3 linked regions of the Rattus norvegicus genome follow. The protein of the gene in region 3 purifies or fractionates together with the protein of the main gene of each other region. This does not show direct contact. Links are inferred from orthologs where the notes say so. Each region holds a gene or a part of one and is shown on either strand. Other genes may lie near its edges.

Region 1 (3,747 bases), on a different chromosome or scaffold from region 3:
CAGAGAAAGGCAGAAAGAGGGGGAGAGGAGTAGAGGTTGGCCATGAGCAGAATGGGAAGTGAGGGTAAACAGGTGGGAGAGGACAAAACTGGAGCAAGAAAGCAAGAGAGGAGGGGCCCTTTTATAGTGAGTCAGGCACATCTGGTTGTTGCCAGGTAACTGGGGTGGAGCCTAGACAAAATGCTAATAGTCTCTTTTGCAACAGACTCCACTCTCATGCAGTTCGAATGATTTATTGATGTTTCTGCTAACCCTGCTACCCTTTCAGTGTGTTTCAGCCGTCAGGAACTCTTAAGCCCATCCCCTACCAGTGGAGCCATGCTACTTCCTTGTGTCTGCCAAAATGTTCTTTAGCAAGTTTCGTTTTTCTTCAGCTCTTCCACTTTGGCAATGTAGATCCTCATGGCATCCATCTTGGACATCCCTTTGTTTACCATCCATGCCTCCCATTTGGCCTTTGCTTTCACATCTGTGGCAGGAGGGACAGGGATGTTACAGTCGCCCTGGGTGGCCTGTTTGTAGAAGCTGTACACCAGCAGTTTCTCCTGATCACTCAAAGGACCCTTCAGCTGCTTGAGTGAAGCGCAGGCCATTTCAAACTCCACTTGGCTCATTGGTATACCAGAAGCCGTGCCTCTGTGTTATAAGTGATACCTGGTACTAGAAGAAAGTTGGAAATAAGCAAGTCAGGTGATCATTAGGCCTTGAAAGAAGGGACAAAGAGATAGTGTGTGTTTGATAACGTACAAGCTGTGGACCAGGAGTCCATTCGATTGCTCCTGCTCCACAGTGCTTTTTCCAGTATGACTGCCCTTCAAAGTTATAAAAGCACCTATGAGCTCTGAAAGTTGACTATGCTGTTGCCCGTAGAAGGCAGTACAGCATGAAAAGCATACAGGGCATTTGTGTATGTCTCAGCGTGGATGGGAAGAAGATAAATCCCGTGGATCCGCTGCTGGTTAGTAGACAGCCCAAGGAAAATTATTCCATATGGGTGAATCATGGGCGGGAGCTGCCCGGGGTTCCTGAGGGTGAATGAAGAGTCTGAACTAAGGGATTCGATCTACTGGCCTCTAGAGGCCAGGTTCCACTTGGAGACGGCCAACGGTACCTGTGAGTAGACGGCTGGAAAGCCTACGCCGAGAGAGGGCGCTGTGGGTAGGGCGGCTTCGACGCCGCGAGCTTGTTGGAAAGGAGTACGCGTGCGCCCTGGACGGCAGCGGATAGCAGAGTACAACACGGAAGCGGAGACGCTCTGTGGGCGGGGCCTGTGACGCGCCTGTAGCGCCGCCCTTTGTGCCGTGGCGCCTTGTTCGCGGCCTTGGAATAGGAGGGGCGGTCTAGCCCGCCGCCAGCGTCGCCGCCATGGACCTAGGTGGGTTCCTGCTTCCCTACTCTGGCCTGGGCCGCGCCCCACAAAGTACCTCCAGGGCGGGCGGAGGCCCTGCGCTGCTTCTATGGCGCTCTCTCGAGTCCGCTCGGGAGGCTGGGGGCTTGAGGAGTTTGGGGGACCCGCAGCCGCGAGGCCGGCCTGCAGCCCTGCCTCACGTTTGTCTCCTCGATTCCTCCTCCGTCCTTCGTAGTGTCTTCTCAGTGGGAAACCGCGAGCGAATGTAGCCTTGGTTCTCCTGGAAATGCACAGGGCTACTGCACGTGTTTCGGAAATGCGGCTCTGGGACGGACGGACGTTCGGACCGTTCTTCCTTATTGAATGACCGCCGAGTTAGTGAACATGTTTCTTAACAGGTTTCCTAGTGCATTTCTCCCAGAGGCTTGGCGTTTTCTCTGCGACCACGTGCATAACAGCACCCCCTTCGTTGACTTACACGCTGTGGTGCCCTTCAGCCCTCGCTTGCGAGCAGGGGTTGTGCAGCCTGAGATGGCACTTTTTGAATCCGAATTCGAGTGCTGCTTGGTTTGCAGTATCCTCCTAGGCGAGGTCTGGAAGAAAGGCAGTTGATAGAAATCTGTGGCCATCTGCCAACCCTACCCACCCTGCTAGGTGTGCTCTTTAGAGGGTAAGACGAGGAGGCCGTCCTGGGAAGTACTCCAAGATTTGCAAATAATACGCTATGGAGAAATGTCTTTGTCCCTAGCCAGCTCTTCAGTGTGGAATGGTAGTTTCGTGCCCTGCAGCTGTAAAGAGTGCTGCCACGGCTTGACTCCCTAGTTGACACCCTGCAAAATTGTGTCTAGGTCTCTAGGTTCCCATCTCTAAAACAGAAGTGATAATCCTTAAGAAGTTAGTTTGATGATTAAATGATTTTTATAGGTGTAAAGCTGGGTGTGATGGCTTCTGTCTAACTAGCACATTGAAGGCAGGAGGAGCTCAAGAGTTCTAGGCCTGGCTGGAGAGATGGTTCAGTGGTTAAGAGCACGGACTGCTCTTCCAAAGGTCCTGAGTTCAATTCCCAGCAACCATCTATAATGGAATCCGATGCCCTCTACAGTGTACTCATATAAATAAATCTTTAAAAAAAGAGAGTTCTAGGCCAACCTGGTCTCTACATTTTCAAGCCAATTCCAGGTATGTAACAAGAGCCTATCTCAGAAAAAAAAAAAAGTATGCCACCAAGCCCAGTGCCTACCAAAGTAAGCAGTCACTTCCTAGCACCAGCTACTGATAAAAGCCTTTGAGTTTCCTGTAGCTATGAACCGAGTCTGGGACTTTCTCAAGCCACATGTACACAGTGCCTGAAATGCACATGTTTGGCAGCAGACATCTGCTCAGCTAAGCTGATGTCTAATGCAATAAAATTTAATTCACAGTTATAAGGAAATGTGTTTGGGGCAGGCAGAACAACCTAAGCCAGAAAGAACCCTAGCTCTGTGAGCCTAGCCGCTGCTGTGGAAACCAAGCTTTCAGGCTTGAGTTTTGTGGGAATGCTGATCCTTGACTTGGGGTGGGTGAGCAGTGACAGTAAATGGTTGGTGGCCAGGAGATTCTGTAGTTGCCTGGAGTCAGTCATTTTTTTCTGGGGGTGGGAGAAGTTTGAGACGGTGTCATGATGCAGCCTTGGCTAGCCTGAAACTCCGTATGTGGACCAGGCTTGCCTCACAAAAGTCTGCCTCATTAGAGCTGGGACTAAAGGGATAGGCCCCCCCACAACTGTCCACTGGAGGGGGTATTTTTGCTATTGACTCTGTGGCCTATGAAAATAGGGCAGACATGCTTCTGGGAGCATAGAGGACTGACTGAGCAAAGAGCTAGGCCCTGGGAAGAGGTAGAAGTTGTTAGGAACAGTGACCATGACAAGTTGTTGCAGTCTTAGTTTCTAGGCCAGATTATGCGCTTTGAAAAAAGACCTGTGCCCGTTTGTTTCTGCACTGGAGGAGGCAAAATGCTGACACGACTACTCCTGCCAACAATTGAGCATTTAAATCAGGTGCTCTTGGTGGTCTGATTATTGTTAAGATGGCTTATATAACCTTCCATTCTTCCATCCCAAGGAGATGCTTCAAAAAGGTATCAGTACCAAAATAGTCACAAAGTGCCATTAGTGGATGTCGTATGTCATGGGATTCTCACAGTTATACCATCAATTATATTCTCATGTATGCAGACGGGAGACTCAGTGATGTGTGTAAAGTCCCATCATTTTTTTAATGACTGAGCTAGAATTTAAATCCATTGTCTTGGTTAAACCCCCATATTGCCTTCCTTTAAATATCTGTATCAGTTCTTAGCTCAGTGAATGAATTTCCTGATGTAATATTTGTTGTGTCCACTTCCTGGTTCTTGCCAAG
Region 2 (2,764 bases), about 29 Mb from region 3:
CTTGGGATAGGAAGTAATTTATGATGTTTAAATAGCCATATGACGAATGTTAGATTGTTTAAACATCTTACAGGCTCCTTGTTTGAGACCCAAAAGGTACTCCAGGACCGGCTGTACTGCTCCTTTACCTCTGTCACAGGGATTTTACTGAAGTATTTCCACATCTAAATGCTACTAGGAAGTAGCGAGCCTCACTTGGTGGAGACTGGGGAGGGAGGAGCAAGGCTAGATGTTTGGACAGATAGCTGCCTGCCTGGTGAAGAATTGGGAGGTGGCAGTGGCTGGCACTTCATCCTTGTCCAGGACAGAAGGAACCGTTTTCCTCAGCGTTGGTCTGGGCCGTTTTTCCTTTAGGAGCCCTCCCATGGAGATGCAGCCCCCTGTCTCTCCTCAGCAGTCTGAGTGCAACCCTGTTGGTGCTCTGCAGGTGTGCCTCATCTTCATTGTCGTGTGTGCTGTCTTCTCTGAACTAGGGCCCTGAGGCAGGGATGTGCGCCCTCGTGGGTGGGGTGGTCCTCCTTCTCATTCAGAGGCTGAGGCTCTTGGTAGAAAGCCACTCGGGTAAGGAACCTTTCTTTCCCCATTAAACCTTGGACTCTTCTGTTTTTCTCTCAAGGAGCTGGTGGTGCAGAAAGGCTGGCGTTTGCCAGAGTACATGGTGACCCAGGAGTCTGGGCCTGCTCACCGCAAAGAGTTCACCATGACCTGCCGGGTGGAGCGTTTCATTGAGATTGGTAACTGGGGAAAAGGGGGTTCACTCACCTTCTCTCCGCCACACTATAGCCCCACACAAGGTGGCTCTTTGCCTGGCTGTGCTCTGTCCCAACTTTCTTTGCTTTGCAGCTCCTTGCTCAGTTCTTCCCTCCCTGTCTCTTCCTTGTCCCTGCCCATCTTTCCCCTCTTTTCTGGCTCATCAACTCCTCAGTGAAAACGAACAGGCCTTGAGCTCCTCTTTGCAGTTATCCCATAAGGGGACCTTCTATCCAAGTTAACTTAGAGGGAAAGCATTGGTCTGTTAGGAATCCCCAAATCGAACAATTCCTTCCCTATCCTCAGGCAGTGGGACCTCCAAGAAGCTGGCAAAGCGCAACGCGGCAGCTAAGATGCTGCTTCGAGTGCACACGGTACCTCTGGATGCCCGCGACGGCAACGAGGCTGAACCTGATGACGATCATTTTTCCATTGTAAGTGGCTTGTGTGGGCTCGCCATGTGGTTCACACTGCAGGACGTGGTGTGGAATTGGGTTGGGTCTGTGATTTGGAAGTGAGTTGGACCTGCTTCTCTACCAAACCCAGGGCTCTTTGAACCTGTGACACCTAGCAGTCCCCTCAGCCTATGTGTAGGGTCACTAGGGAAAGCTGGCCTAGGGCAAAGGCCCTGTAGCAACTTTTCCTGGGATGAGGAAGCCTGCCAGGGGTCAGAGTATGCCCTGTTCTTGGGTTCTTAGCTGCATTCTCACCCTTATCTCATTAGGGCGTGAGCTCCCGCCTGGATGGACTAAGGAACCGTGGGCCAGGCTGCACCTGGGATTCCTTACGGAATTCTGTGGGAGAAAAGATCCTGTCCCTTCGCAATTGCTCCGTGGGCTCTCTGGGGTCTTTGGGCTCTGCCTGCTGCAGCATCCTCAGTGAGCTCTCTGCGGAGCAGGCTTTCCATGTCAGCTATCTGGATATTGGTATGGCCAGCCAGGGACTGGGGATGGAGGGGACTGGATCAGAGCAAGTATAAAGGAGTTGGGAGATGGGTGATGTACACTGCTTGGTGCCCCTCCCCACCAGTGCCTCCCTCTTTTTTGGCTTCCAGAGGAACTGAGCCTGAGTGGGCTCTGCCAGTGTCTAGTGGAGCTGTCCACGCAGCCAGCCACTGTGTGTTATGGTTCTGCCACTACCAGGGAGGCAGCCCGAGGTGATGCTGCTCGCCGCGCACTACAGTACCTCAGGATCATGGCCGGTAGCAAATAGCACCCACTACAGTGATGGATATCTGTTACTTCTTGCTCCTTCTGCCCTGGGTCTATGCGTCTGCCTAGCTCTGGTGCCCTCCAGAGGTGCCATCTCTACCTCTGACACAGCTTGCCTGCCTTGAGACTGAGGAAGGCAAAGGCAAGCAAGGAGCCATGAACCACAGGGCCCCAGCCAGCGCAGGGTTTGCCCTCATTCCATGGATGATGAATGAAAGGAAATTGGAATTCTATTGGAATCCAGAATAAATGCTGCTCTTTGGCTTCTTAAACCCTGTGTTCTCTGGCCCTGGGTCATGAGGGTGTCAAAGGAATACACAGTGTTTGTTCTCCTTCTGAACCCCATTCTTTTTGCTACAGGCAGGAGGCAAGGTGCAGTAGCCTTGGGGACCCTCCAGCAGAATGGCTGGAGACTGATTGAGTGGAGGTAAAGGAGGCTATAACTATTGCTCTTGGGCTCCCACCCGTTCCCTGAGAGTCTTGTCCAAACACAGATGCAGAAGCCAGACCACTTTATTTGGGGGCACACATGGAATGTGGGGAAGTGATTTTGCATGCAGACATATCACAGCAGATGATGTTACTTCTTCCCAAAGCGCTGAGGAGCGGCCAGGCTCCAGAACTCTCTAGCCTGGGGACTTAGCTGCTCCTTGCTCCAGGGCCCCCAAGCATTTCTGCCAAACCTTAGGAGAGATTCATCTTTAGTCGGCACTCCCTGTATCTCACCTTCCCTCACATCTTCCTCTGCCCTCCTCCCTTCCCAGCCTCTGCCTTTTGGAACTCACCTCTGGGGCTGAAACAAG
Region 3 (3,747 bases):
TAGTTTTCTGTTGCCCTGGCTGGTTCTGAGCAAAAATCTCTCCTGAGTTCAGCAAATCCTGTCTCCATCCCAAAGCAGTGGGGACCACAAGTGCTGGCCACAAGGGCTAGGTATGATTAATTACCCGTTTGTGTCGACCACTTAGGAGGAAGGGGTACCCAAGGCTTTCTTCTATGTACCCTAGACTGGATTTAGCATTGTCATCCTCCTTCCTCGATTTCTGAGTAGCTGGGATGGCAACCCCACAGTTCTTTATCTAGTTCCTTCCTCCTCCTCCTTCTCCTCCTTTCCATGTTTATTGGAAGGAACGCTGCTTTTCTTGCTCCTCGGACTATTTTTTGAGCACTGCACAGGCTATGGAACCTACCCCGATGCTGGGGTCCCTGCAGTAGGACCCTGTTTGCTTGGGTCCTCAGCATGGGCTTTGAAGGCATTGTCAAGCGTACAGGGTGAGGCGGGAGCTGACACTGCCTCTTCTATAGAAAAGGTGCCAGAGACAACTGGGAGCACGTGCCAGCAACAAGTGGGGAAAGGGCCTATGTGCACAGAGCATGCTCGTCTGGGAGGCCTCAGGGCAGAACTTGGGGGTTCTGAGCCCAGAAAGCGGGGAGCCCCGACTAGATCTGCTCCCTGACGGCTGATAAAATTCATCTTGAACTTGCTGTGCTTCCTTGGTGCTTTATTAGGATTATCTAGGTTGTCGAGCCGCGCCGGGAGGTGGCGGTGTGGTCACGCGCACGGGTCTGGCCGCGTCCAAGTTCAAGCTCTGGGTGGGGAGCTAGCTTCCCGTCGCCGTTTCGTTAATAACTTAAAGAGCCAGGCCGAGGTGCAGGGGCGGGACGCGGCCGGGGCTCTGCCACTCGGCGCGGGAGGACTCCGACTCCGGTCGCAGTGCTGGGCTGGCCGCGCCCGGAAGCCAGACGTCGCCTCGCTGGGCCGGAGGAAGGGTCTCCCGCCCGTGTGCCCCGGGTCGCTCCTGGGGTCCCTCATTCAGGGCAACCACGCGGGGGGCCGCCACCTCGATTTCCCCCCATCCCGCTGCCCCGCGTGCGCGCGCCGCCTCCAGCCTCCTCCCCTGCCCCCTCTCTCCCTGCCACCTTCCCTCCTCCCCGCCGTCCCCTCCCTCCTCCCCGCCTCCTCCCTCCTTCCCTCCCCGCTGTTCCCTCCTTCCCTCCCTCCCCGCGGTCCCCTCCCTCGTCGTCCCTCTCGCCCCTCCTCCTCCCCTCCCTCCTCCCGCTCCCCTCCCCCTCCGCTCCCGCCGCCTCCGCCCGCCGCCCCGGCCGCGTCGGGTAAACCTGTTCTGCGAGGCGGCCGCGCCGGGGCGGATCGAGCGGCCGGCGGGTCCTCGCGGCTCGCGGCGTCGGGGCCCGTGGAGCGCGCGGCCGGCCCTCGGCCGCGGCCCTCGGCAGCGCCACCATGTACTCGGGAGCCGGCCCCGGTGAGTCCGCGCGGCGCCCGGCACTCGTGCCGCGGCGGTTGGCGGTTGGCGGGCGGGGCAGGCGAGGGCGGCCCAGCCTGTGGGGCCGCGGCGTAGCCTCGGGGCAGCCGGGTAGGGCCTCGGGGCAGGGAGGCCCAGTGCACCGGAGCAGCGCGGCCCGGACGTGTTTGGGGGCCCAGGCCCGGCCTGCAACGGGTCTCGGTCCTCCCGCAGCGCTCCTCCCTCTGTCCCCAAGCGCATAGCTGTGGGGCCCAGCATGCGGGGCCTGGGGCGGGGAGCTGGACGGGTCGGGAACCGAACCCCGGGGCCCCGGGACCGCGATCGTCTGCTTGGACGCAGTTCCACGCTGGGCAGCCGCCCTCCCCATTCAAGTGCTAATCGCCCTGCGATTTCCTAGCGGAGCGGGTGGCCGCCGTGGCACCCCTTCCCACCAGCGTGCCCGTTTCTCTGGAAAAGTTCCAGAAAACTTAAAAACACGAACGTATTTTCCCACCCCGCTTTTCGAGCAGAGTGGAGGGCGGTTTACTCGCGGGGTTGAGAAAACAAGTGTTGGGAGGCTTTTTCGCCTTCTCCCGCCAGGCACGTGGCTCCATTTCCCGGCCGCCCCGCCGCTTGCTCGGGCTCAGCCTGCCCCCCTTTGTCCGCCAGGCTGTACTTGGCGCCCGCGGGCCCTCCCTGCTGCCCACCTGACCTAGTGGTTCGGCCCTGGGGCCTCCCCAGACTTCTTCACTGTGGGGTCTGGAAGCCTCCCAGATCCTCCCGGGTTCCCTACGGTGCTTGCTCCGGAGCCTAGTGCGCCTCCTCTCCTGATGTCATAGGGCTCCTCGAATGCCCACTGACCAACTTCTAAATGCGTTAAAGGGCTTCCCAGTAATTTGAAGACCCTTTTAACCTTGCGCTTGGGAGGTGTCCGGGTCCTGGAGGCAGATGTTGGGGTCTGGAGGTCCCCTGCGAAATGACCAGGGCAGCCTCCTGCCAGATTGGGAATCCCCCCTCCCCCCCAGCTCAGCGCTGTGGAGGAACCCAGCAAACATTAACTCCGAATATGTACGTTTTTCCTGAGTGTCAGTTTCTAGTGATCTTCTTGGAGACGAGGCCATGCTTTTCTCTATTTTGCGTGTTGATCCTTTCAGCTTGCCACAGTGGGCCTTTCTGGAGACAGGCAGTGGAGGCTCAGAGAGGTTTAAGAACCCTTTAACATCCGGGAGCCTGCATTAGGACAACCTGTTTGAGCACTCCTATAGAAATGGTTTCCCAGTCCCTTTGACCTTGACCCCACTGTTGGAAGCACTTGTTTGGTGTGGATTAGACCAGTGAATTCCCAAGTAGGGTGGAAAGGAAGAGCCTACTGTGTGTTCCGCGAGGGCATCTTTGTTGCCTTTTCAAAAAGAATGCGGTAGCCTGGATCAACCGGTTCATTTTGGTCACTGGCAGCTTTGAAGATGGCTGCTGCTGCGTGGGCCTCCGCATTGTGGCCTAAGGGAGAGACAGTCCCCTCTAACCAGAAAGCCTTGGGTGAGAAAAGAGATGCCTGTAGGGTAATTCTTGGCTAATGGCAGGCTGGGAAGGAACCCAAGTTTCAGGTGGGCCAGTGTGCTGTAATTGCAAGGCTGGAGTGCAGCTCCATTTTATTGCACATAGCACATACAAAGGCTTTTAATTTTGTTTACAAGGAACCCCTCCACCTCCATCCTTCAAAGAGACTCCATATTTCCAAGTTTAGGAGAATGGAAGGCCATTGGATCTGAATTAAAGAAAAGTTACCAAGTTTTGCTGTTTCCGAGCTTGATGGGAAGTAAATACTTAGTAAATTAACTTTAAAAATAGAATCCACAGTGGGTTCTCATTGTGTCTGTTACAAATACTGTTACATGTGTGAGATTAGTAGCACTGGGGGCCAAGGTTCAGAACCTCACAGATTTTTCTTTCCTATTGGAAAAGGTTAGTGGTTTAGGGTAGATAAATTCTCTTCCCACCCTGAAATTTCCTAGATAGTGGGTTCTAGGTGGGGTTTCCCCCATCGAAGGATCTTAAACTGTCTGGGAGGAGCTTTGCCTCCTGCAAAGAGATGCTCCTGCTTTATAGCCTATGAATATTTGCTACAAAATAACCTCGGAGACTGTGGAAACCCGACTGAGAGCTGCGGATCACGACTGCGTCTTTGATCATCGCTTTACTCTCTGTGGTCTCCAATGGCAGCAGTTAGCCCCTTCCCCCACCCTCCTCCCCAATTCACAGTTTTGTCTGAGGGTACCACTGCTGCCTGGCGGCCTGTGTGCTGCAGGGAAAGCGTTGCCAACAGCTGGAAG

The links.
Region 1: the proteins of Ago2 (region 3) and Gemin4 purify together in Homo sapiens (affinity purification with western blotting; 4 studies listed by BioGRID and IntAct, with this or other methods). This does not show direct contact. The link is inferred for Rattus norvegicus from reciprocal best matches to the Homo sapiens genes AGO2 and GEMIN4.
Region 2: the proteins of Ago2 (region 3) and Tarbp2 purify together in Homo sapiens (co-immunoprecipitation; 10 studies listed by BioGRID and IntAct, with this or other methods). This does not show direct contact. The link is inferred for Rattus norvegicus from reciprocal best matches to the Homo sapiens genes AGO2 and TARBP2.

Annotation. Positions count from the first base shown.
Region 1 is NC_086028.1:61,569,258-61,573,004, reverse strand, and holds the start of Gemin4 (gem-associated protein 4), read left to right. Parts: upstream 1-1,340; 5' UTR 1,341-1,365; coding exon 1,366-1,375; intron 1,376-3,747. Other genes in the region: Dbil5 (diazepam-binding inhibitor-like 5), read right to left, coding at 351-614. UniProt on the Homo sapiens protein: The SMN complex catalyzes the assembly of small nuclear ribonucleoproteins (snRNPs), the building blocks of the spliceosome, and thereby plays an important role in the splicing of cellular pre-mRNAs.
Region 2 is NC_086025.1:135,530,594-135,533,357, forward strand, and holds the end of Tarbp2 (RISC-loading complex subunit TARBP2), read left to right. Parts: intron 1-354; coding exon 355-427; intron 428-616; coding exon 617-734; intron 735-1,056; coding exon 1,057-1,184; coding exon of another isoform or gene 1,185-1,188; intron 1,189-1,474; coding exon 1,475-1,676; intron 1,677-1,804; coding exon 1,805-1,962; 3' UTR 1,963-2,233; downstream 2,234-2,764. Other genes in the region: Npff (pro-FMRFamide-related neuropeptide FF preproprotein), read right to left, coding at 2,542-2,644, 2,747-2,764. UniProt on the Homo sapiens protein: Required for formation of the RNA induced silencing complex (RISC). Component of the RISC loading complex (RLC), also known as the micro-RNA (miRNA) loading complex (miRLC), which is composed of DICER1, AGO2 and TARBP2.
Region 3 is NC_086025.1:106,991,648-106,995,394, reverse strand, and holds the start of Ago2 (protein argonaute-2), read left to right. Parts: upstream 1-1,270; 5' UTR 1,271-1,416; coding exon 1,417-1,438; intron 1,439-1,445; exon of another isoform or gene 1,446-3,747.